2 linked regions of the Rhinolophus ferrumequinum genome follow. The protein of the gene in region 1 interacts with the protein of each later gene in a pairwise test. Links are inferred from orthologs where the notes say so. Each region holds a gene or a part of one and is shown in the gene's direction. Other genes may lie near its edges.

The links.
Region 2: the proteins of UBASH3B (region 1) and DOC2A interact in binary tests that used the Homo sapiens proteins (3 or more experiments, as listed by UniProt). The link is inferred for Rhinolophus ferrumequinum from reciprocal best matches to the Homo sapiens genes UBASH3B and DOC2A.

Annotation. Positions count from the first base shown.
Region 1 is NC_046308.1:37,593,940-37,604,628, reverse strand, and holds the start of UBASH3B (ubiquitin-associated and SH3 domain-containing protein B), read left to right. Parts: upstream 1-6,253; 5' UTR 6,254-6,583; coding exon 6,584-6,744; exon of another isoform or gene 6,745-6,880; coding exon of another isoform or gene 6,881-6,981; intron 6,982-10,689. UniProt on the Homo sapiens protein: Interferes with CBL-mediated down-regulation and degradation of receptor-type tyrosine kinases. Promotes accumulation of activated target receptors, such as T-cell receptors and EGFR, on the cell surface.
Region 2 is NW_022680357.1:990,204-1,000,474, reverse strand, and holds the start of DOC2A (double C2-like domain-containing protein alpha), read left to right. Parts: upstream 1-5,786; 5' UTR 5,787-5,861; intron 5,862-6,083; exon of another isoform or gene 6,084-6,164; intron 6,165-6,447; 5' UTR 6,448-6,559; intron 6,560-7,240; 5' UTR 7,241-7,249; coding exon 7,250-7,514; intron 7,515-7,855; coding exon 7,856-7,935; intron 7,936-8,132; coding exon 8,133-8,207; intron 8,208-8,330; coding exon 8,331-8,440; intron 8,441-9,906; coding exon 9,907-10,033; intron 10,034-10,126; coding exon 10,127-10,186; intron 10,187-10,259; coding exon 10,260-10,271. Other genes in the region: C15H16orf92 (fertilization-influencing membrane protein), read right to left, coding at 1-24, 307-370. UniProt on the Homo sapiens protein: Calcium sensor which most probably regulates fusion of vesicles with membranes. Binds calcium and phospholipids. May be involved in calcium dependent neurotransmitter release through the interaction with UNC13A.

The DNA of each region.
Region 1 (10,689 bases):
CCCTCCTCTATATTTCCTTCTGCCCCTCTGCCGCCAACCTTGTGAAAAAGTCCTGATGTCCATTTCAGAGACAGCATTGTTTCCACTCTTTTAAAGCAAATTTTTGTTTTTTATTTTTTCCTCCTCATATCTAGGTTTTTACCTCTACCTAATTTTATTCTGTTACTTAGAAATAAAAATTCCCCTATGCTGCCCATACATTTCCTTTTATATAAAAAAGAAAGTTGTGTGAGAAGAGGAAACAAACTCTTTTTTTTTTTTTTAACTTGTACTGTTTATTTCACAACACTTCTATTGTTATGAAGCAAATTAGGGACACAGAACCTGGGGCAGTGGGGCCTTTACAAGGAGGAAACATGGACAATGGAGTATCTCCTATGAGAATTCCAGAATAGACATGCTGGGATTTTTGTTCAGAGATGGGCGAAAAAGAAATAAAAATAGATACCCCTCCCACCTCTCTTTCTTGCTTTTGCAATTGAGGGAGAGATCTTAATTTTTTTCAATGTGAGAAAAATATAATCTTTTTATTGGATTGGAGTGATGCTCCAAACTGTTTCAGCCTTAGTTTTTCCTATTGTGTGACATGGCTTCAGAGATTAAACAATCCATCAACAATCATGTAAATGTTACTACACACTTTCTATGTGCCCAGTACTGATGTAGGAACATTTTTCCCATGAGTCCCCAAATGATATAGATGATGTTGGATCTGCCAGCAGTTTCTGGGTGTAGGCCAGGATCGGGTCTCATGAAGCAGAAGAATGGAAACACAGATCCAGGAGAAGCAAAGAGTTTTAAAAAGAGGATAGTTTATTAAAAGCAAAGAGTCAGAGCTCCTGAGTGGGAGGGGGTCCCGAATGGGAGTGGCCCCTGACTGAGGCAAGAGCTCTTATTTTTATACCTTTCCTTGCCTGTTTGGGGAAGGGAAGCTGTTTGAAGAAGGGAACTTGTTTGAAGAAGGGAACTGGCGCCTTCTAATGAAATTCGTCTACCAGGTTTGTTCTGCTTGCCCATCCTGAAGGAATTAGCAAAGTAACCCACTCTTATCTATCAAATCTGCTCCATTTGTCAGGCCAAAAGGAATTTTATGATTAACCTCAAGGCCTTGTTACGTTATGTCCTGGAGCGAAAGAGTGATTTCAAAACCTGGAGTTTCAGGATATGGCTGTCTTTGTTTAGTCCACCAGGGACTTCCCTGTCTACCTAGGGACATGATAACTACCCTGTCTCAGTACTATGTTAAGTCCTAGGGACAAATTTCAGACTGTGAAATAGTCACCAATCTCCAGGTCTTTAGATTTGTTACAATTATGCCTCAAGATATAAGAATGAATGACTTTTTATTTTATTTTATTTTATTTTATTTTATTGAGTTCTAATTGACATATAACATTGTGTAAGTTTGCAGTGAACAACATACTGATCTGATACATTAATACTACAATATGACTGCCATTGTGATGTTCTGTCCAGTCCCATAATTATAATTTCTTCTAATAGTGTGAATAACATTATTTTTAAAGTCCACTTCACTCTAAGATTTCACCTGCGTAGAGGACCACTGTCCTCTCTCCACAACTCACTCCTCAGCTGTCCTTTCCTTCCCAGCAATCTCTTCTCCCTCTTGTCAGTCCTGCTCCATTCCTCTTTACTTTTCTTTTTATTAAATTATGGCCATTCAGAAATAAACTGGGCATTAAAGATCATCTGACACAGTGTTTTTCAGAATGTTTTTTGATCTTCTAAACCACCTTTTCACAGAAAAGCAAACATAAAACCCCCAAGACATAAAGCTAAGAACGTGTACCTGCTCTGAAAAGAGGAGAGATGCCATGCTTCGCCTACTCAACCTTCAGATGAGTAACTGCAACCCTTATTCATAAAGAGTCCCTGAGGGTGAGACAGGTTAGTTAGTATGATTGCTAGGTATATAGGTAGGTCCCTGGTAAAATAAAGAAAAGACAGCCATATCCTAAAACTTCAGGTTTTGAAATCACTCCTTCGCTCCAGGACATAATGTAACAAGGCCTTTAGGTTAATCATAAAACTCCTTTTGGCCAAACGGAGCTGATCTGATAGATAAGAGTGGGTTACCTTGCTAATTCCTTCAGGATGAGCAAGCAGAAGAAACCTGGTAGACAAATTTCATTAGAAGGCGCCAGTTCCCTTCTTCAGACAAGTTCCCTTCTCCAAAGAGCTCCCCTTCCCCAAACAGGCAAAGGGAAGGTATAAAAGTAAGAGCTTTTGCCTCAGTCATGGGGCACCCCCCATTCGGGATCCCCTCCTGCTCGGGAGCTGCAACCTCTTCTCCTGCCTCTAATAAACTATCCTCTTTTTAAAACTTGTTGCCTCTCCCTGGTCCGTGTTTCCATTCTTCGGCTTCACGAGACACGATCCAGGCCCACACTCAGAAACTGCTGGCAGATCCAACATCACCTACATCAAGGGTCCTTTGGCAAAGTCCTAGGAATCCCCAGCCTAAGCCACCCCCTCATTTGGCAGGTGAGGAAGCTGAGACCCCGAGAGGGGCAGAGAACACTTCCAGGTCACAGTCAACACCCAGGCTTCCCGACTCCCATTTCTGGAGCCCTCCCATGGTCTTCCCTTTCTGTCCTTACCACAGGGTTTCAAAATCTTCTGGCCATGAGGAATCCCTTTGAAGTCTAGGGGCTAAAGTCATTTCTAGTGGTTTGAAAACTACCTTCATTTGCCATGGCACCATTGCAGCCCTCAGAACTGGAGACATTCTGTAGACTAAAGTCTACCTGTTCTTAACGCAATCACTTGAAATTTTCTCAAGGGTGGAGAGAAGGAGAAGGAAAACACATAGGATACACTTCAGAAATTATGAGTTCAGTTAACTGGATCCCCATCCTGGCCAGCCCTGCGGCCATTTCAGAAGGGCTAACACACTAAAAGAGTGGCTGGGGCCAGTGGGGGTGGAGTTAAACTGTGTGCACGAAAGAGGTGTGTGTCTCAAGGTAGATCCTGACATGACCCATTGGTGCAGGGGTACATGATAACTAGCTTGTTCTTCTGAGGAAGTAACTGAGTGCTGATGTGTCAGCTCCCTCACTCTGCAAGTCCCCATTTATGCCTCACTCCTCCCACTACTGTCATCAGATATCTGGTTAGATGCATAGTCATGTCTCTTTTCTTTGTAATATAACAATATGGGCATTTATAAAGCTTTCTTTAGTTGTTCAAGGTCAATACAATTAAAACACAATGTATCTTAATTGTTAACCCCTCTACCCCTTGCAGAACAAATGGCAGCAGTCTGAGTGCCAGCACTGAGCTGAAGAAGGGTGAGGAAATCAGGCTGGGATTTCTGCAAGTCCCAGACAAAGCAGTTTTACATCTAAGGTATCTGGTTTTCCACACTGCTTTTTTTCAGGCTACCTAAAAATATTTTTATATCCATCATTTCCTCTTACAGTTTGCCTATCGGCAGGGAGAAAAATATAGGGGTTCAGAATAAATCACCCCAAGATGTGCCTCAGTGGAATATGGATTGTTCTGAACTAAAGGCAACTTTGGCTTCAGGCTTAAGAAAAACTTCTGCCCCTTGCCCCCCACCTTTACTATCTAGAAGAATTTGAATAAGGGACCTTGCCCATAATAAGAGATTATCAGAGATAATCTTTTTTGACCTATCTGTAGGGCAAGGCAAACTTCTAACTACTGAATACCTGTCCTTCTTATCGTCCTGCAATGACCCTTTGAAGCCCCCAAAGCACCTTACCTCTTCTCTTGCTCAGAATGTCTTAGATACCCATTTTCCCTTTGTGTCTTTGAAACTGTCTTGCATGTGAGGTCTCATTTATGTGGGGTCCCAATGTGTACATAAGTACTAATTTTGGTTATTTTATTTTGCTAATCTGTATAGAACCTCGAGGGTAGAGGAAAGTTTCTTCCACTTCTACAAAGACAATTAATTCAATTTTTCTGGAGAAACAGATCCAGCAATTTTATGTCAAGGGGCATAAAAGGAGTCAAAAGGGACCATGTTATTTCAATGGTTGGCATCTCTTCGTCATCTTAACAATGGTGACAAATGGTTGTTTGGGCAAATTTTAAGAGTTCAAATCCTGGTTCTACTACTTACTAGCCATATGATCTTGGACAAGATACTTGACTTCTGTCTGCTTCAATATCATTTGTAAAGTGGCTGATGGTAACATGGTAGTACCTACTTCATTGCCTTGTTGAGAGAGTAAATGAGTTATATGTTTAAGAACCCAACAACAGCAACAGCATATAGCAAGTTCTCAATCAATTTGAACTATTATATTGTGTAGTGCTCATGGTTTACAAAATACTTCCACAGGCTTTAGTAGCTCTTGACTAGGCTCCAGATCATTTGACTTTCAGCCCAGGCTGAAAGAAGGAGAAGTTCAGAATATTGGGTAAGGTCCAGCATCCTTTACTGAACACATCCCAAGGAGAATGTCTACTAGGTGTTGTTTTTCCAGCCCAGTCCTGTCTCTGCTTCATGCCTTGGAGAAGCACTCTGCAAGTCCAGCACATTTCCTCTGCTCTGACAGAAGCTTCTATCTACCCAGGAAGTATGAACTTTCCCTCATCCCTTACACAGCAGGAGGCAGAATTATGCACATTGTTGCTTAAGCCCCAGTAGTCCTTATCTCTTCACTCCAAATACCACTGGATATTCTTTAGAAAACCAATTCTGGGCGAGGAGGATTAAGCTGTACCATTTCCCCTGGTAAAATGTTTAGATGCCTTATAAAGCAACACCAAAAAGCTGCTCGGGAGTGTGGTCACCATCCCTCCTCCACACTCCAAACAGGGGAAAGAGCTGACATTTTTTGAGAACCCAGTGCGTGTAATGCTAGGTACTATGATGCATACAGATAAGGACATGGGGCTGTCCAAGGCAGAAGCAACTTGCCCAGAGCACCACAGTGGATAAAAGCTCTGGCTATGCACTTACCAGCTCTAAGATCTTCCTCAACCTCTCAGAGCTGTTTTCTCATCTGTGAAACTGGGATAGTAATCATATACATTGCATAGGGTCATTGTAAAAATTCAACGAATTAATTCATTTATTATGTTTAGCATAATGGTTGACACATAGAAGAGTCTAATAAATGTTAAGTTTTATTATTATCATTACCTGAAAAAGAGGAGCAGCTAGGGTTTACTTTGTGCCTTTTCCATTACACCAAGTGGGGTCTTTGTCTCTGACTGAGTACAATAAGTTATCTCGGAATGAAAGAGCCTTAACATCTCCCGGGCAAGCTCATGACGTGGGGCATGGGAGACTAGGTGTGGGTAAGAAGTCCATCTTGTTTGAGGTGTGAGTAGTTTTGTCCAACCTACGAAGCAATTCGCTTATTCCTGACGGCTCACCAGTGATGATCCAGTCTTTCTTTGAATCCTTTTATTGACAGCGAACTCATTCTCTAATGAAAATCAACCCATTCCATTTGAGAAAACCATCGAGAAAACCAATTCTGGGCTAGGAGGATTAAGCTGTACCATTTCCCCTGGTAAAATGTTTAGATGCCTTATAAAGCAACACCAAAATCAACAGCATCTTACAGTTAGAGAGCGTGCTTTCTCCGTTCCTTCTCCCTCCACCTTCCTTCTACTTCCCACGTCCTGTCTCTCCTCCTCCTTCCTCCTTTCATCTTCTTTTCTCTTCCTCTTTCTGCCCTGTCCTGTCCCTCTTTTTCCTCTCTCCAACCAGAACTGAGAGCCTGAGGTCCTACTCTTTACCCTGACGTCACTATCTTATTCATGGAGAGCATGTTATGTTTTCAGTATGGCCACTTGTCGGGCTGATAGAATTGGTCTTCAACGGCCATAACAATCCTCTAGGTTTTGCAGAGTCTGTTGAAAGCAAAACCTTTTATCTGGGCCTTCTGTCTTGGCCCTGTAGCTCATTAATGTCATCCATTGGTTCTCTCAGTTTCCGTTATTAACCCCATCTAGAAGGACTTGAAACTTGCATTGATTGATCTGGTGTCTTGAGGCCCATCTGGCCCTATATGCAAGGCATGGAGAAGGTAGGGGCGCTGGGAACAACTCTCGGATCCCAACGCACAAGCAGCCTACGCTGGTTCCAATTTTCCATCTAGAAGCACCGGACTCTACAGCCTGTGCGCTGCCTCCAGCAGCCTCCGGCGGCGCGGCAGCTTTAAGAGAGGGGCGGGGCCCGGGCACAGGCAAGGCAGGGCCAACCCACAAGGTTCCTTTTCCTTTTTGATCCATTCAAAAATTACTCATTGCAAATTCCCGGACTGCTGGGAGAAGAGAAGGAAGGAGGCGGAGGAGCGAAGCTGCTGCAGACGCCGCGCTGGGGGCACCCGGAGGCCCGAGTAGCCGAATTGCTGGCCGGGCCGAAGCTGCTGGCGGGCCGTTCTGGCTTCGGTGGCCTCACCAGGAAGCGTCAGAATCTCGACACCCGGGAAGCTCTGCGCCGCCTCCGCCCTCTCCGCCGCCTCCCGCCCGGCTTTCGGCCCGGAGCCCCCTGCCCTACCGTAGTCTAGCTCCCTCCTCCCTCCGGGACGATCCGACTCGAGCATCTTCCCCGGCGATGGCTGGCCTCTGAGCCATGGCTCAGTACGGCCACCCCACCCCGCTTGGCATGGCCGCGAGAGAAGAGCTGTACAGCAAAGTCACCCCGCGGAGGAACCGCCAGCAGCGCCCCGGCACCATCAAGCATGGATCGGCGCTGGACGTGCTCTTGTCCATGGGCTTCCCCAGAGCCCGCGCGTAAGTAGCCGGGCTTGCAGCCCTTGCGACCCCTCCCGTCCCAAGCGGCAGACCCTCGGCTTCGCTCCAGCTCGCCTCCCGGCGCCTGCGGGACGGGCGGCGCGCTCCCCGCTGCCCACGTCCTGTTGAGGGCAGGATGGGCGCGCAGGAGCCCGGCTCTCATCTCCTCCCCACCGGGGTGCAGGGGAAGATGCCGCGCGGGAGCGCTGTACGGGGGACTTGCTGGGAATGCCTAAGGTGAGGCATGTCTCAAGGAGACGGCACCTGGTTCGAGTCCCGGGAACCGTTCCCAGCGTCCGGCCTCCGCGGGTGGGGCTAAGCTGTTGTCCGCTAACCGCGGAGCCCCTGGGGAGGCGGGGCCCCATTGGGGATTTAGGTATCCTCTTGATCCGGAACGCAGGGCTAGCTTAGGATCCTCTTGATGGCTGCGAGACGGTAAGGGACCAGCGGGGCAGTGAGGCCGGCGCTCCCACTGCAGCGGCTTCCAGGTCCGGATGCTGCTCTCTGGTTGGGTCTCTCACCGGAGTAGGAGGAGCGGGATCGTGGGTGTTGCTGCGTGTTCATTGATCGGGAGGAAGGAATAAGGAAAGCAGTTCTTTCAGGGGACCTGAGTTCTTGTCAGTGGTGATGGCAGCGCAGAAATCTGTGGGTGCCTGAGAATAAGGGGGGGGGGGAGCTGTCCTCCAACATCCTTCTTCCCCAAGGAGGGTTGAGTAGGGAAAGGCAGAGAAAGCGCAGGTGGCTGCCCCTGCTGCCTGCTGCGAAGAGGCCTGATCCCAGCACAAGGCAGCAGCAGTAGCAGCAGGGGGCTTCTGAAGCTGGGCATCCAAGATTGTGGGGCCGGAACCCTGCCTAGAAGGAAGCCAAGGCCCAAAGGTCAGGCCCTTCTCCCTTGGTTGCTTACAAATTTCTTAGGTGGGAACAGACAGCCTGGGATCCCGTGGGGTGCTGCTTCTTTGAATTACATCACCTGGAGTGGGAGGTGGGGGAAACTTTATTAGGAAGGGCCAAGTTAATGAAACTTTTTTTTCTCCCCCGCCCCCTTCCAATTTTCAGATGATAACTCTAGGTTTCCCTTCCAGGGCCTCTGGGCAAACCTTGATTTTTCTTTACTAACCTGGCTGTAACCTCTTAATCAAAGCAGACCTCTGATTTTATCATTCTACCAAGCCTGCTGGGTCAGGTTGGCGTGGCCTTGGAAGGCCATAATATGGACTGATGTTTCTGTCTCCCACTGGCTTCCAAGCACAGGGGCTTCAGTTCCTGATGCCAGAGTTGCAGGGAGCAGTTGTGGTGGGCTCTGCAGGGGTGTGTCAGGTGTGGATGCTGCAAGTTAGGTCCTTCCTATGGATGATGGCTGCACATAGCCTATGGATGATGACTGAGCATAGCTCTCCTTACGAATGGTAGATAGGGGCCTGGAAGTCTGTTGGGCGATGCTGCAGAATTAGCACAGTCCCAGGCATTTTCCCTTTATGAAATGAGGCCAGTGTAAGGAACTATTAGGTTGGTGCAAAAGTAATTGCGGTTTTTGCATTTATTTTTAACCTTTTAAACTGCAATTACTTTTGCACCAACCTAATAAATTGCTTAATTAAGGGAAGAAATACTTAACTCCTCAGACCATCATGTTTGCTATTCAAACTGGCTTTAAAGGGACATCTTTTTCCTGCACTTGTCCATGTCCTGATAGATTAGGATGAGGGTCTAATTTTGGCTTGTTCAACCACTGAGATCTCATTACAACTAGCATTTGCTGATCACTTACTATGCACTGTTCTAAGCACTTTACCTACTATCTATTTTATCCTCCTAGCAACCAAACAAGAAAAGTATTTATGTGCCCATTTTATGAATTGGGAAACAAAGGTTTAGAGAGATTATGCAACTGCTCAGGGTCACAATAGGAAGCAGTGAATGTGGGATTCAAACCCAGTCAGTGCGCCTGCTCAGCTCAGGCCTCATATCCATGGCTGGAATGTAATGCATCAACGTGGGTAACATGTTAGTGCAATGCCCGGCACATAGTGGGCACTCATTAGGTGTTAGCTATTATGTTAGTTTCTGCGGCTGCTGTAACAAGAAACCACAAACTGGGTGGCTTAAGCAACAGAAATTTATTCTCATACTGTTCTGGAGCCCAGGAGCCCCAAATCAGTGTCACTGGGCTGAAATCAAGGCGACAACAGGGCTATGCTCCCTCTGGAGGTTCTAGGAGAGAATGCATTTTTTGCCTCTTAGAGCTCCTGGTGGCTCCTGGCATTCTTTGGCTTGTGACTGCATCACTCCAATTTCTGCCTCCATGGTCACATTACCTTCTCTTCTGTGTCAAATCTCCTTCTGTGTCTTCTGTAAAGACATTTGTGATTGCGTTTAGTGCCTCCCCGGGTAATTCAAGATAACCTTCCCATCTCAAGATCCTTAATTATATCTGCAAAATCATTTTTATTTTATTTTTTTGCCATAAGGTAATGTTCACAGGCTCTAGGTACTATCTAGGTCTCTATCTTTTGGGGGGCCGTTATTCCGCCTACTACAGCTGTTATTATGATTACTAGCACTGCCTCTCTTTACTGGAAAGGTGACAGAGTAGATCATGATAAAATAGTCTAGTTGGGAGGGAGGTTGGCTTTGCTATTCTGTTTCCCTCAGATGCTCTGCGTTGGAGTGGGCAGAGCCCTTGGCAGTTACATGACCCCTGATTTCCACTCCCTCCCCAGGCTGGCATCTCTTTTACCTCAACCTGCAAAGGCTGATGTGGTCAGCCTTCCCCTTAATAACTTACCTCAGGTCAGTAAGAAGAGGGGTCTCTCCACAGGACCATCCATCGGAGATTTCAGAGAGCAGACTTTTAACTTTATTTTAGAGAGTTGGAAAGGAAGAGAACCAGGGCATCAGGCTTAGCTACTCAGAAGCCTCTTTTTTAGGTCTTAAGCCTGGAGGAAGGAACATGATGAAATTGAAAGCAGGAGACAGCAGGAATGGTTTCCTGGGATCAGGATGACTTAGCTGTGATGGGAAGATGGGATGAGACCAATGTCTGGAACATGGCCCTTTGGAGAGAATGGTGGTGGCCAAGGCTGACAGCTCTGGTTTCCCCTCTGGGTGTAACTGGGCCTGGTGTTGCTCATCAGGAAGAATGGACATTCCCCCTGGCTCAGAGTCCAACAAGGTCCAGGTCCCATTCTAGGCTGTGCAGTTCTGTGGTCTTGGATAACTCACTTAAACCCCCAGGGCTCCACTGACTCCCTCTGAAGGGGACAGGATTACTTAGTGCATGCTTCTTAAGTGCTTGATGGAGCTACAGGGAAGAAGTGCTGAACAAGCAGGTGACCTCAGGATGTGTTCTTTCTAGCTCACTACTCCCCTGGAGCTGCGCTGGGTTTTTTCCATCCTACCTTATGACCTTCAGCCCAACTTAGACACTGCTGTGGAAGAACCCGCCACATGGAGGATTGAGGAGTGGTGATTTTTTGGTGTGTGTGTGTGTGTGTGTGTGTGTGTGTGTGTGTGTGTGTGTTTAAGCAAGCAGAACACAAAGAGGTATTAGGAAGGCCTCAAGAAGAAAACTTTCAAGGGGCCCAAATGGCCTATCCCTTCCTTTTTCTTTCTATGCCCAATCGCTCTTCTCTGTTCCAAAAGTTCTAAAGGTAAAAGTCTAGCTTTGTCAAGACTGGAGTGAGGTTGGTGGAAAGAAAAGGAAGAGTGTGTATGCTGGGCAAAGGCCTGAGGAAGAGGACGCCTAAGGCCAGGAGGAGCTGTGTGGAGAAGACCAGACAGGAACTCTGATAGAGTCGTTGCTTTGCATAACCCTACGGGATTTCATCCTATCCCCCTACTGGCCTCTCTGTAGCTTGAGGCCAAGTGTGGGAACCAGTCACTGAACAATAAATTTGAGGAGCCCTGGCTGACAGAACTGTGCCTTTTGTTTTGGTTGGGGTTTGC
Region 2 (10,271 bases), on another chromosome or scaffold:
ACTTGGCACTCTCCAGGTTGGGTGCTGGGGATCCAAAGCAGAGTCTATGACAAGAGCCAAGCAGACCCCTGCCACCCACCCCAAGACGCCACACAGCCTTAGTGTGGTTGTAAAGGGGCTTGAAATTGTTCCGGGAACTTCTCAGAGGTCAGCTGAGCTCTCCAGGAGAAGGCCCATTCTGGACGGGGAGGATGGGCGAGAAGTGCAGACAGCAAAGAGAAAGGCGGAGGCTTGGCCTCTGGACCCCTAAGGGAACCGTCCCCCCAAGCCTTCTGCCTCCCCACTGCTCCCAGGACCACTTCCCACCTGTTTCTACAGCCCCCAGCCCAACCAGCCACACCCACACCCATGCCCACTGCCACTGCCTCATGACCCCTCCACGCCTGTGACAGGTGATGTCACAGCTCTGTGATGTCACAGCCTGGAGCCATTCTGAGCCCACACTGAGGGGAAGGGAGACGGAAGGTGCTAGAGCTGGAACCTTCCCCCCAACCCCACTGGAATCAAGGGGAGAGGTTGGGACCCACAGAGCCTCATCCTTTGGGATGAACAGTGGCAGCCCCAGAATTTAGAAACAGGAGAAACTTGGTGGCACTAAGGGACACGCATTAGTATAGAAGGTATGGGGACTTCTAGGGGCGGCAAGGTTCCACCCCTCTCGTTACCCCTTGGATCGACCGCAGGAGCATTTATTGAGCACTTCTTACTATGCCGAGTACTTGACATGGACTGACTCGCCTAACCGGCTTAACAACGCCAATGAGGTAGGTCCTCCAGGCCTCACTACACAAACGAGGGAACCAAGGCACAGACGGGCAAAGTGATGTGAGCAAAGCACACTTCCCAGGGATGTGGATTTTCCTCCCTGAGGCTCCCTCTGGCCTTGTGGCCCCCAATCCAGGCGCCTCGGGGGCTCCCCAATTCCCAAACTGGGTCTCTCAGTGCCCAGCTGCTGACCCTGGGGCTGGGAACAGGAGAAATAACAGGCTTTTCCCACTAGGTGGCAGCAGTGTTCATGCCTGCCTGCCTGTTTCCCCTCGTCCTGCCCCAGAAAGACACTGCTCCCCAACTCCTGGCCCTTCACCGCCCTTTTTCCTCAGGTTGCATCACGTGCTTCAGGAGGAAGTATTGCCAGGGAAGGGCAGGCATAGGGGTTATCAGAGGAAGCCCTCTGGCCCGTCTCTCAAGGCAGGTCTTTTGGTAAGGCCCAGAGCTTTCACAGGCTCCCCTTTCTGGGTGGGTTCCCCCACAGGCCATCGCATTTTCCCTTCCTAGTCTCCGATTTTCTCTTATATGTCACTTCCCAACAGCCACTTTCACTCCTGCAGCCCCCTTCAGCTTCAGAGTTAGTTCCCCTCTGATTGGTAGGTAGGCCTGTCTGTCACAGGTGTCCCGCCCTACCCAAGCCCAAGGACACTCCAGGGTCTCCTTGGTTTTACTACACAGATGCCTGTTCAGCAGCCTCTGACAGTCCCAGGTCCATGACTACCCCTGAGCCACACATGTGTCTGTAGTGTGTGTGAGGTCGCCTGCCCTACGGATGGAGGCTCCCTCCTCTGCTGGCTCCCCATCCCTCATCTTTCCTGCCCTCAGGGACCACCCACCCATTCTCCTCACAGTAACACTGGGAGGCGCTTGCCACAGTCAGCTTCCCAAAGAAGAAAAAGGCCCAGAGAGAAAAGGAGGAAAGAGGAGGGAACCTAACCTAACATCTTGGGGACTGGCTCAGATGGGCCTTGTCTCCTTACACTTACCTCTTCTAAGAAAGAGGAAGTGAATTATCCAAAGTCACAGGCCTGTGAGGGGCAGCGGGGACTCAACCTGCTTCCTGGCTCTGGGCCAGGGCTCTAGCCCCAGCCCCGTGTGCAGCTGCTCCTGGGGTTTAGCGGGGAGAAGGGGTTCAGAGCCTTTCGCCTTTGCCGTGGAGTTTGCAGTTTCCTCAGAAGAATACAGCTGCCCTCTCTCCCAGAAAAGACTCAAGCAGTAAAGTATCCATTCATTTCTTCACCCAACTATGAAATAAATGTGCTGAGCTCCTACTGTGTGCTGGGCTCCACGGTGGCTTAGACAGAATCTCCAGGGCTTGCTCTCTGCCCTGGGGCACTCAGGGGAGAGAACGCCTGGGTACGCACCACTACAGTACAGACCAACAACCTCTAAGCGACTGCTATGTATGCTGTCTCTTCTCCGTCACTTCGAATGCATTTGTCAGCCCCTTCAGACCTGGCTTCATCCCCAACACTCTCCTGAAGCCACTTTTGCCAAATCCACCAATGACCTCATAACTTGCCAAATGTAATGGTTACTTCTCGGTTCATTCTGCCTCAGCTTTCTGAGCCTGCAGCCTCCAGAACCATGCTCACCGATTTTCTCTAACCAGCTCAGCCTTGGACCTTTCTCTTTTCTATCTATATTCTCTCTCCCTAGGTGATCTCATCCAGTCTCATGGCTTTAAATACCATCTATAAGCTGATGACTCACAAATGTATATTTCTAGCCCTGCCCTCTCCTCTGAGCTCCAGACTTCTCCACCCAACTTCCTGTTTCATGTCCACAAACATCTGGAATTTAACAGACCCCAAACGGAGCTCTGGATTCTCCTACCCCAAACCTGCTGCTTCTTTCCATCGCAGCAAAGGGTCTCATGATTCCTATAGATGCTTCATTCAACACAAAAGCCCAGGAATCATCTCAGATCTCTTCTTGTCTCTCTCCTGACGAACTCATTATCAAGACCTGTAGGCTTAGTTTCCAATAGCAATCTCAAATTCATCCACTTCCCTGCCCCCTCCGGCTGCCCGCCTTGTTCAAGCCAACCCCATGTCTCACCCCGCTTATTACTGCCACAGTCTGCAGATTGGTTAACCTCTCTATTCACTCTTCCCCTAGGGAGAACAAACCAGAAAACGCAGATTCACTACTGAAAACCCTCCAATGGCTTCCCATGGCTCCCGTGTGAGTTCTGAACGTCTTCGCCTGACCTGTAAGACTTTTGCCCAACCCTGTCCACCTACCCTACTCGGCTCTTTCCAGGCTCTTCCTTCGTCGGCACGCTCCAACCTTGGCACACAGCTCTGCCCGGGACGCCGCTGCCCACACTGGACCCCGGGCTGGCTCCTCTCCGCCGCAGAGACAACACTTCCGGGGTGGGGGGCGCGCCTGCGCTTCCACACCTTGTGACCAGCCGAGGTTACCGATTCAGTCTCACTGCATATTGTCTGTCTCCCTACAAGGCTGTGAAGCCAGAGAGTGTTCACCTTGGTTCATCAGAGTCGTAGCACAAGAGATAGTAGGTAGTCAATACATATTCATTGACTTAGTGGATGGACGGACAGACAGAAAGCCTTTCCACCTGCTGATATACCCCGGGCTCACCGCTGTCTGTGTTCCCCTACAACTGGCTTGAGCTCCAGCTCCCCTTCACCTCCGACAAGCCTCTCTGGGGGACACTACTGGGCCTGAGCCAAGCCCCTTAGGAAGACCACAGCAGAGGCTGCCCGGCTGTAAGCCTCTGGCCCAGCCTGCCCCTCCCCTCACTGCAGACCCAGGTCCGCCTGTCACCAAAGCCACCAGCTCCGGTTGTGGATGGCCTCTCCCTTAGTTCCACCTCCTTCCTTATCCTGGAGAGCCCCAGCGGAAACCTAATGGTTGCCTTTACTTAAAATAATACATTCTTTTGAATAGGTAACATAGGCACGTGGTACACAATTCAAAAGATACAAAGCGTGTACCTTGAAAAATCACTCCTGTTTCCTGCCTTGCCCTGCCTCAGAGCTACTTCCTCAGAGGTCGCCACAGTTACCACTTTCTGGTGCAGCCTTCCAGAAATAATTTATGCACAAATAAACAAACACGTATAAACTCTTTTGGCCTCACTCAAATGGCAGCATTTGACACACGCTGCTCTATACCTCACTTTTTTCAGTACAGAAAGGGACTCTTTCTTTGTCATGGCTGCATAGTATTTCATTGTATGAAACTGTGTCATAACTGATTGAACCTGTCCCTTACTCGTGGACATGTAGGTTGGTTCCAATCTTGTGCCACTGCAAATAAACTTGAACTTTTATTATTCTGCTCATGGAGCAGAATATGTCTATGGGATAAAATATCCACTATGTCTATAGGATAAAATCCTAGAAGAGGCACTTTGGAGTCAAAGAGTCTGCGAGTATGTTTTTGCCATCTTGGGATCCACGGTCAGACTGGCCTCTGAAGAGTTGGTCTCCATTTGCCCATAACTTCGCCCACATTGTGTGTTACCAGATGCTTGGAATTTTGTCATTTGATAGATGACAAGTGCTTTCTCAGTGTCGTTTGACGTTGCATGTCTTTTTAAAAACATATATCTTGGAGCCAGCCCGGTGGCTCAGGCGGTTAGAGCTCTATGCTCCTAACTCCGAAGGCTGCCGGTTCGATTCCCACATGGGCCAGTGGGCTCTCAACCACAAGGTTGCCAGTTCGATTCTTTGAGTCCAAGGGATGGTGGGCTCTGCCCCCTGCAACTAAGATTTAACACCGCACCTTGAGCTGAGCTGCCTCCCGCGTGGCTCAGTTGGTTGGAGCACGTCCTCTCAACCACAAGGTTGCCGGTTCGACTCCCGCAAGGGATGGTGGGCTGCGCCCCCTGCAACTAACAACAGGCAACTGGACATTGAGCTGAGGTGCACCCTCCACAACTAAGATTGAAAGGACAACAACTTGACTTGGACAAAAAAAAAGTCCTGGAAGCACACACTGTTCCCCAATAAAGTCCTGTTCCCCTTCCCCAATAAAATCTTAAAAAAACAAAAACATATATCTTAACTATTTTCAAGCATTCAGTTCAGTAAAGTATATTCACATTGTTGTACAATTGCATGTCTCTTACTTTTAAATCACAGTTTTTAGTAATGCTAACTTAGTACCGGCCCAGCTCGGGGCAGCCTCTGCTCCCTGGTGGAGGGTGGGGAGAGATAGAAATGGAAGCAGGCATGACAAGCGTCATCAGAGCTGAGCCTGAGGTAGCACTGGAAGCTGGGGGCAGAAGGGGGATGCTACCGGAAGGCTCCTAGAAAGAGGGGACTGACTCACGGGTGACCCTTGAAGGAAGGGAAGGCCCTCCAGGTGAAGGAGCTGAGGTGAGCGAAGGTCCAGAGGCCTGACAGATCCAGGTGTGGGGGTGGCCCGTTAGCTCAATTGGTTAGAGCATGGTGCTGGTAGCACCAAGGTTGCAGGTTCCATCCCCGCATGGGCCACTGTAAGCTGCGCCCTCCTTAAAAAAGAAAGAAAGAAAGAAAAACGCAATACAGAGATCCAGGTGTGTTCTAGGAACTGCAAGGAACGTTCCTGAGAGCCGGCGCCAGGAACAGGGGTGATGAGCTCACAGAAGTCAGGGTGCTGGGCAGAAGGGCCTTGGAGGTCCCTGTGAGGATGGACGCCTTTGGGGGATAGCAAGCTTGGGACAAAGGAGAGCTGGAGTTAGACTGACAGGTGGCAGGGTTCCGGTGAGAAACGGAGACAGCTGAGGAAAACTGAGCGAAGCCTGACGCCCCTCCCCACCTGAGGGACAGAACTGGAGCGGGTGGGGGGAGGGACAAGGGAGGGTGGATTTGCAAAGGAGATGCCATCCCTGTGAAAGGGACACCGGCCCTTGGGGGTTGGGTTGGGTCACTAGGAGAGACGCCTGAACAGCCGAAGGAAGGAAGGAGCCGTGGGAAACACACAGCCTCGGACCTCTGCCTCCTCCCTCAGGCTGTGAGGTCCCCCAGCTGGGCTGGGCGACCCTGAGATCCCAGGTCAGCGATCGATCGCAGGCGGATCACTGCGCCCGGGTCACTGCGGACCTCCAAGCTCCGCCCCACCCCCGGGCCTACCCACAGGTTTGAGGACCAGAGGGCCGGACGCCCTCCTCCCTCCCCCGCAAGCTCTCTGCGGGTGGGAGCGTGAGGATGCACCCGGGGAGAAAGGGGGGCAGCCTGCGTCGCCACGGCAACTGGGCGGGTGGCCGGGTCTTGGAGACTCTATAGGGAACCAAGGAGAGAGCGAGGGAGGGGGCCCGTGGGCTCGGCGCGGGGGCAGGGGCGGGGGCTGGGTTTCCGGGGTGGAGTTGGGGAACACCCGGCAATTATCACTGCAGGTGCCCGGTGGCTCCGGGAGCTCGTGTGTGTGTCAAGTTTCCCGGGGTGAGTGTGTCAGCGCGTGTCTGGGTCTGTGCATGTGTGTGAGCGTGCGCACGTGGGCACAGGCGTGTGGGCGCGAGTGCCCGTGCAAGATGCGGGTGCCAGCCTGCGTGCCCGGGTGTGCGTGCACTCGTGTGCGCTTCCAAGTGTGCCCGGGGGGCGCCGGCCGGAGAGTCCCGGCCGCCCCTCCCCGCCCCTCGCCTCCCGCGCCCGCAGTCTCAGCGCCTCCACCTCGCTCACCCCCTCCTCCCGCACTTTTCTCCTCTCCCTCCCTCTCCGCGCACAGCCGGACTCCGCACTCTTCTCGCTGGCTACCCTGGGAATCGCTGGCCGCCACCGCCCAGCCTGCACCCGCCGTCCCCCCAGTGCTTGCGCACCTGTTGGAGGCACAGAGACAGGTGCAGGGGGCTGGGCCGCCGGGGGCGTCAGGGGGAGGGGAGTGTGTGCGTTAGGCTGCGTGTGCCCACGGGGCTTTTCACCTCTCCCGAGGCTGCAATTTCTGGCTCTAGAAAGCCAGTCTCAGGAGGAGGCATCTGAGCTGGGGCGGGGGTGGGGGGGTGGGGGTGGTGGTGGTGTCTCACCTTGGGCTGCAGTGGGTGGGGGACCAGGCACGCAGGGAGCTCCTGGGGCAGATTGGACAGTGGGGAGTGAATGTCTAGAGGGGTGGGCGACACCCGGACCAGACAGGCGCCTGGTGCAGAAGGATGGATAGAGCCTCAGAGAGACAGAGGAGGGGCTTCGGGGAGTAGGCAGGGCCCAGGGGCAGACGGAAGGCCAGAATGAGGGGCAGGAGCTAGGAAGATGACAAAGGGACCATCCAGAGATAAGTGGGCAAGGCTGAGATGCAACCGGGACCTATCTGGGGAGAGTGGAGCAAGGCTGGCGGTCTGGAGGCCCCGAGCCTCCTGCCTGCTCATCAGCTGGCACAGGCTGACCTCTCTCTGGACACCTAGGAGGGGAGGCCACAGACCAGGGAGGTTGCTGCCTGGCCCTCCACCGGCAGACTGTGGGTATAAGCAGTGGGCAGTGCACTGGCGCCCGCTCTCTGGAACTTGAACCTCCCCCCCCCCGCCCCCCAGGGGTGCTGCATGAGGGGCCGCAGGGGTGACCGTATGAGCATCAACATCCAAGAGCACATGGCCATCAACGTGTGCCCGGGGCCCATCCGGCCCATCCGCCAGATCTCCGACTACTTCCCCCGCCGGGGACCCGGACCCGAAGGGGGCGGCCGGGGCTTTGGGGAGGTCCCTGCCGGGCTGGCCCCCCTGGCCCTGGCGCCCCCTGCAGCCCTCCTGGGGGCCACCACGCCGGAAGATGGAGCTGAGATGGACAGCTATGATTCGGATGATACCAGTGAGTCGGGGGCTGGAAAGCCCCAGGCTGCTCTGGGGGCCTCCTGGCTGGTGGGAAGGGGACGGGCCCTGCTGGGTGTGTGAGGGGGAAGCAGCAGCGGGCGCTGTCACAGCTGCAGTCACTGTGGAGATTACAGCTTCAGCAAGGCTCAAGATTCAATATTTCTGCTGAGACACTCCACCACCCACACAGCCCCGGCGGCAGCAGCCCAACCAGGGACCCAGACGCACACACTCGCGGCGGCCAGACACAGAGCCCCGCACACACAGCCGGCCTGCCCACCGGTCCCGCACACACACCTGTGTGACACTGCCTCACGCCGCCTCTTCCCTCTGCTCCAGCTGCCCTGGGCACACTGGAATTTGACCTTCTCTACGACCAGGCCTCCTGCACTCTGCACTGTAGTATCCTTAGGGCCAAGGTGAGTGCCTGACCTCGCAGCCCCAGCTCCGTTTGCTCCCACCAGGAGGGGTGGGTTTCCATCCTCCTTCCCCTTCTCCACGCTGGACCCCTGCTCCCCTCTCCATGCACCCCCACAACCCCGGATCCCTTCTTCTTGGCTCTCCACACTCTGCAGGGGGGGGTACCGGGAGCTCACTGCCTCCCCCCACCCCCCAGGGCCTCAAGCCCATGGATTTCAATGGCCTGGCCGACCCCTACGTCAAGCTGCACCTGCTACCTGGAGCCTGCAAGGTAACAGCTTCCGCCCTCCCCTAGCCTGACCCAGCTGGTGGGTCTGTCCCCAGCCTTCCTTGGCTTTCAGCCTCTGTGGCTCTAGAGGACATGTACTGAGAACTCTTTGTCCCCACACCTTAGGCCAATAAGCTGAAAACGAAGACGCAGAGGAACACGCTGAATCCCGTATGGAACGAGGACCTGATGTACAGCGGGATCACAGATGACGACATCACCCACAAGGTGCTCAGGTGAGGGGCCCGTCCCCCCTGCTGACCGGCACCCCCCCCCACAGCTGTCCTTGGAACCTTTGGTTAATCCACCTCCCATGAGCCCCTCTCAGATAGAGGCGCCCCAACCCCTTAGGCAGCACAGGCCAGAGGATTTCCCTGGCATTCCTACCCGCCCCCAACATGTCCTACTGTTCCTCCAACAGAGGACTGCCCTCTCCTGATTGACGGGGGTCCATTACTCCTGAGTTGTGCCTGTTGTCTCTTCTACCTGGAAAGCGCTCCCTCATCCCCTCTTTCCGCCACCCTAAATGCTCCTCATCATTTGAGGCTCTGCCTCCTGAAAGCTTTCCCTGGTCACTGACACCCCTTCTCAGAGCCCCGGACTTAAGCCAGACGTAGGCAGCGGACTCCTGCCCATTCTGTTGCCTCTGTTCCCCCAACATCTCTAAGGAGTGACATCTTAGGGGACAGGAAACTTGCTCCGTCATCCCAGGAGGTGGAGCTGTGGAGAGTCCTCCCAGGCGAGGAGTGAAGGGCAGCAAGACCCAGGCTCCTGGGAGAATGTCTCCTTTGTTTTTGGGCAGTAGGGAGCCATCAGGGCAGGGGCACATGGGTCAGCTCAGGGCTGTTTCCCAGAGGTCACCTTGGTGCTGGGTGGGGGCGGGCTGGAGGGGAGGCGGAGGTGGAAACCAAAAAGGCTGGCCCGTGTTTCAGATGTTGGAGAACACGGCCTAAACCACTGAGTGCTCACCAGTGCCCGGCCCTGCGCTTCGCGTGCTTCCGTTTCTTCCTTTCACTGGGTCCTCACTGGGTCCTCGGAAGATCTGTAGGAGGGTGTCCTCCTCTCCATTTCAGATGTGGGAATCGAGGCTTAGGGCGGCAACTTGGCCAAGGTCACACGGTTGCTAGGAAGTGGCAGAGCTGGGACTTGAACCAGGAGTGTCACAGCGGCAGGAAGGGCAGAAGGGGAAGGCAGAAGTCAGAGCAGTCCTTCCGTCTCTCTGGGCTCCCGCATCTCTCCCAGGCTGGCTCCCCGCGCCCTGCAGCACAGGAGCTCCAGGGGAGGTGTGGGTTCCTTGTCCGCCGGCCCAGGGCTCCTCCAGGCCGTTCTGGCGCTCACACCCTGAATCTATGACCCACATGCGCCGTGCACACCCTGTGCACAGTTAGCTGGATCCATCCGCAGGCCCTACATGGAGGCGGGGATGAGGAGGGTCCCCAAGAGGCGTGAGGGCTTCCGGAAGTAGCTGAGCGGGTCCTCATGGGCCTGGGCAGCTGGAAAGGGGGGGCCAGAGGAAACAGCGTGAGTGAACGCGTGCTTCTCAGGCGCCAGGCATGGGCTCACCAGCCTGAGACGGCCCGTTTTACAGGTGAGGTGCGGGGTGTTGGGGGCAGAGCTGGGAGCAGCCCCCCAGTGCTCAGGGTCCAGCAGACGCCCTTTCTCTCACACTGAGGGGGGCCCTGACCTTGCCGTTCCCCGCCAGGATCTCCGTGTGTGACGAAGACAAGCTGAGCCACAACGAATTCATTGGGGAGACCCGTATACCCCTGCGCCGCCTCAAGCCTTCACAGAAGAAGCATTTTAATATCTGCCTCGAGCGCCAGGTCCCGGTCCGTGTGTGCGGGGCGGTAGGGTGCCCACGGAGGGATCCCTGCGCTGGCCAGGTTTCCAGAATCTTCTCTTTGCCCCCCCCCCCCCCCCAGCTGGCTTCACCGTCTTCCATGTCGGCAGCACTGAGGGGCATCTCCTGTTACCTGAAGGAGGTGAGCTGCCTCCGGGGGACCAGTCTGGTGGGCGGTGGTGGGGATGCAGACTGACCCCCGTGTCTGCCCCAAGCTGGAGCAGGCG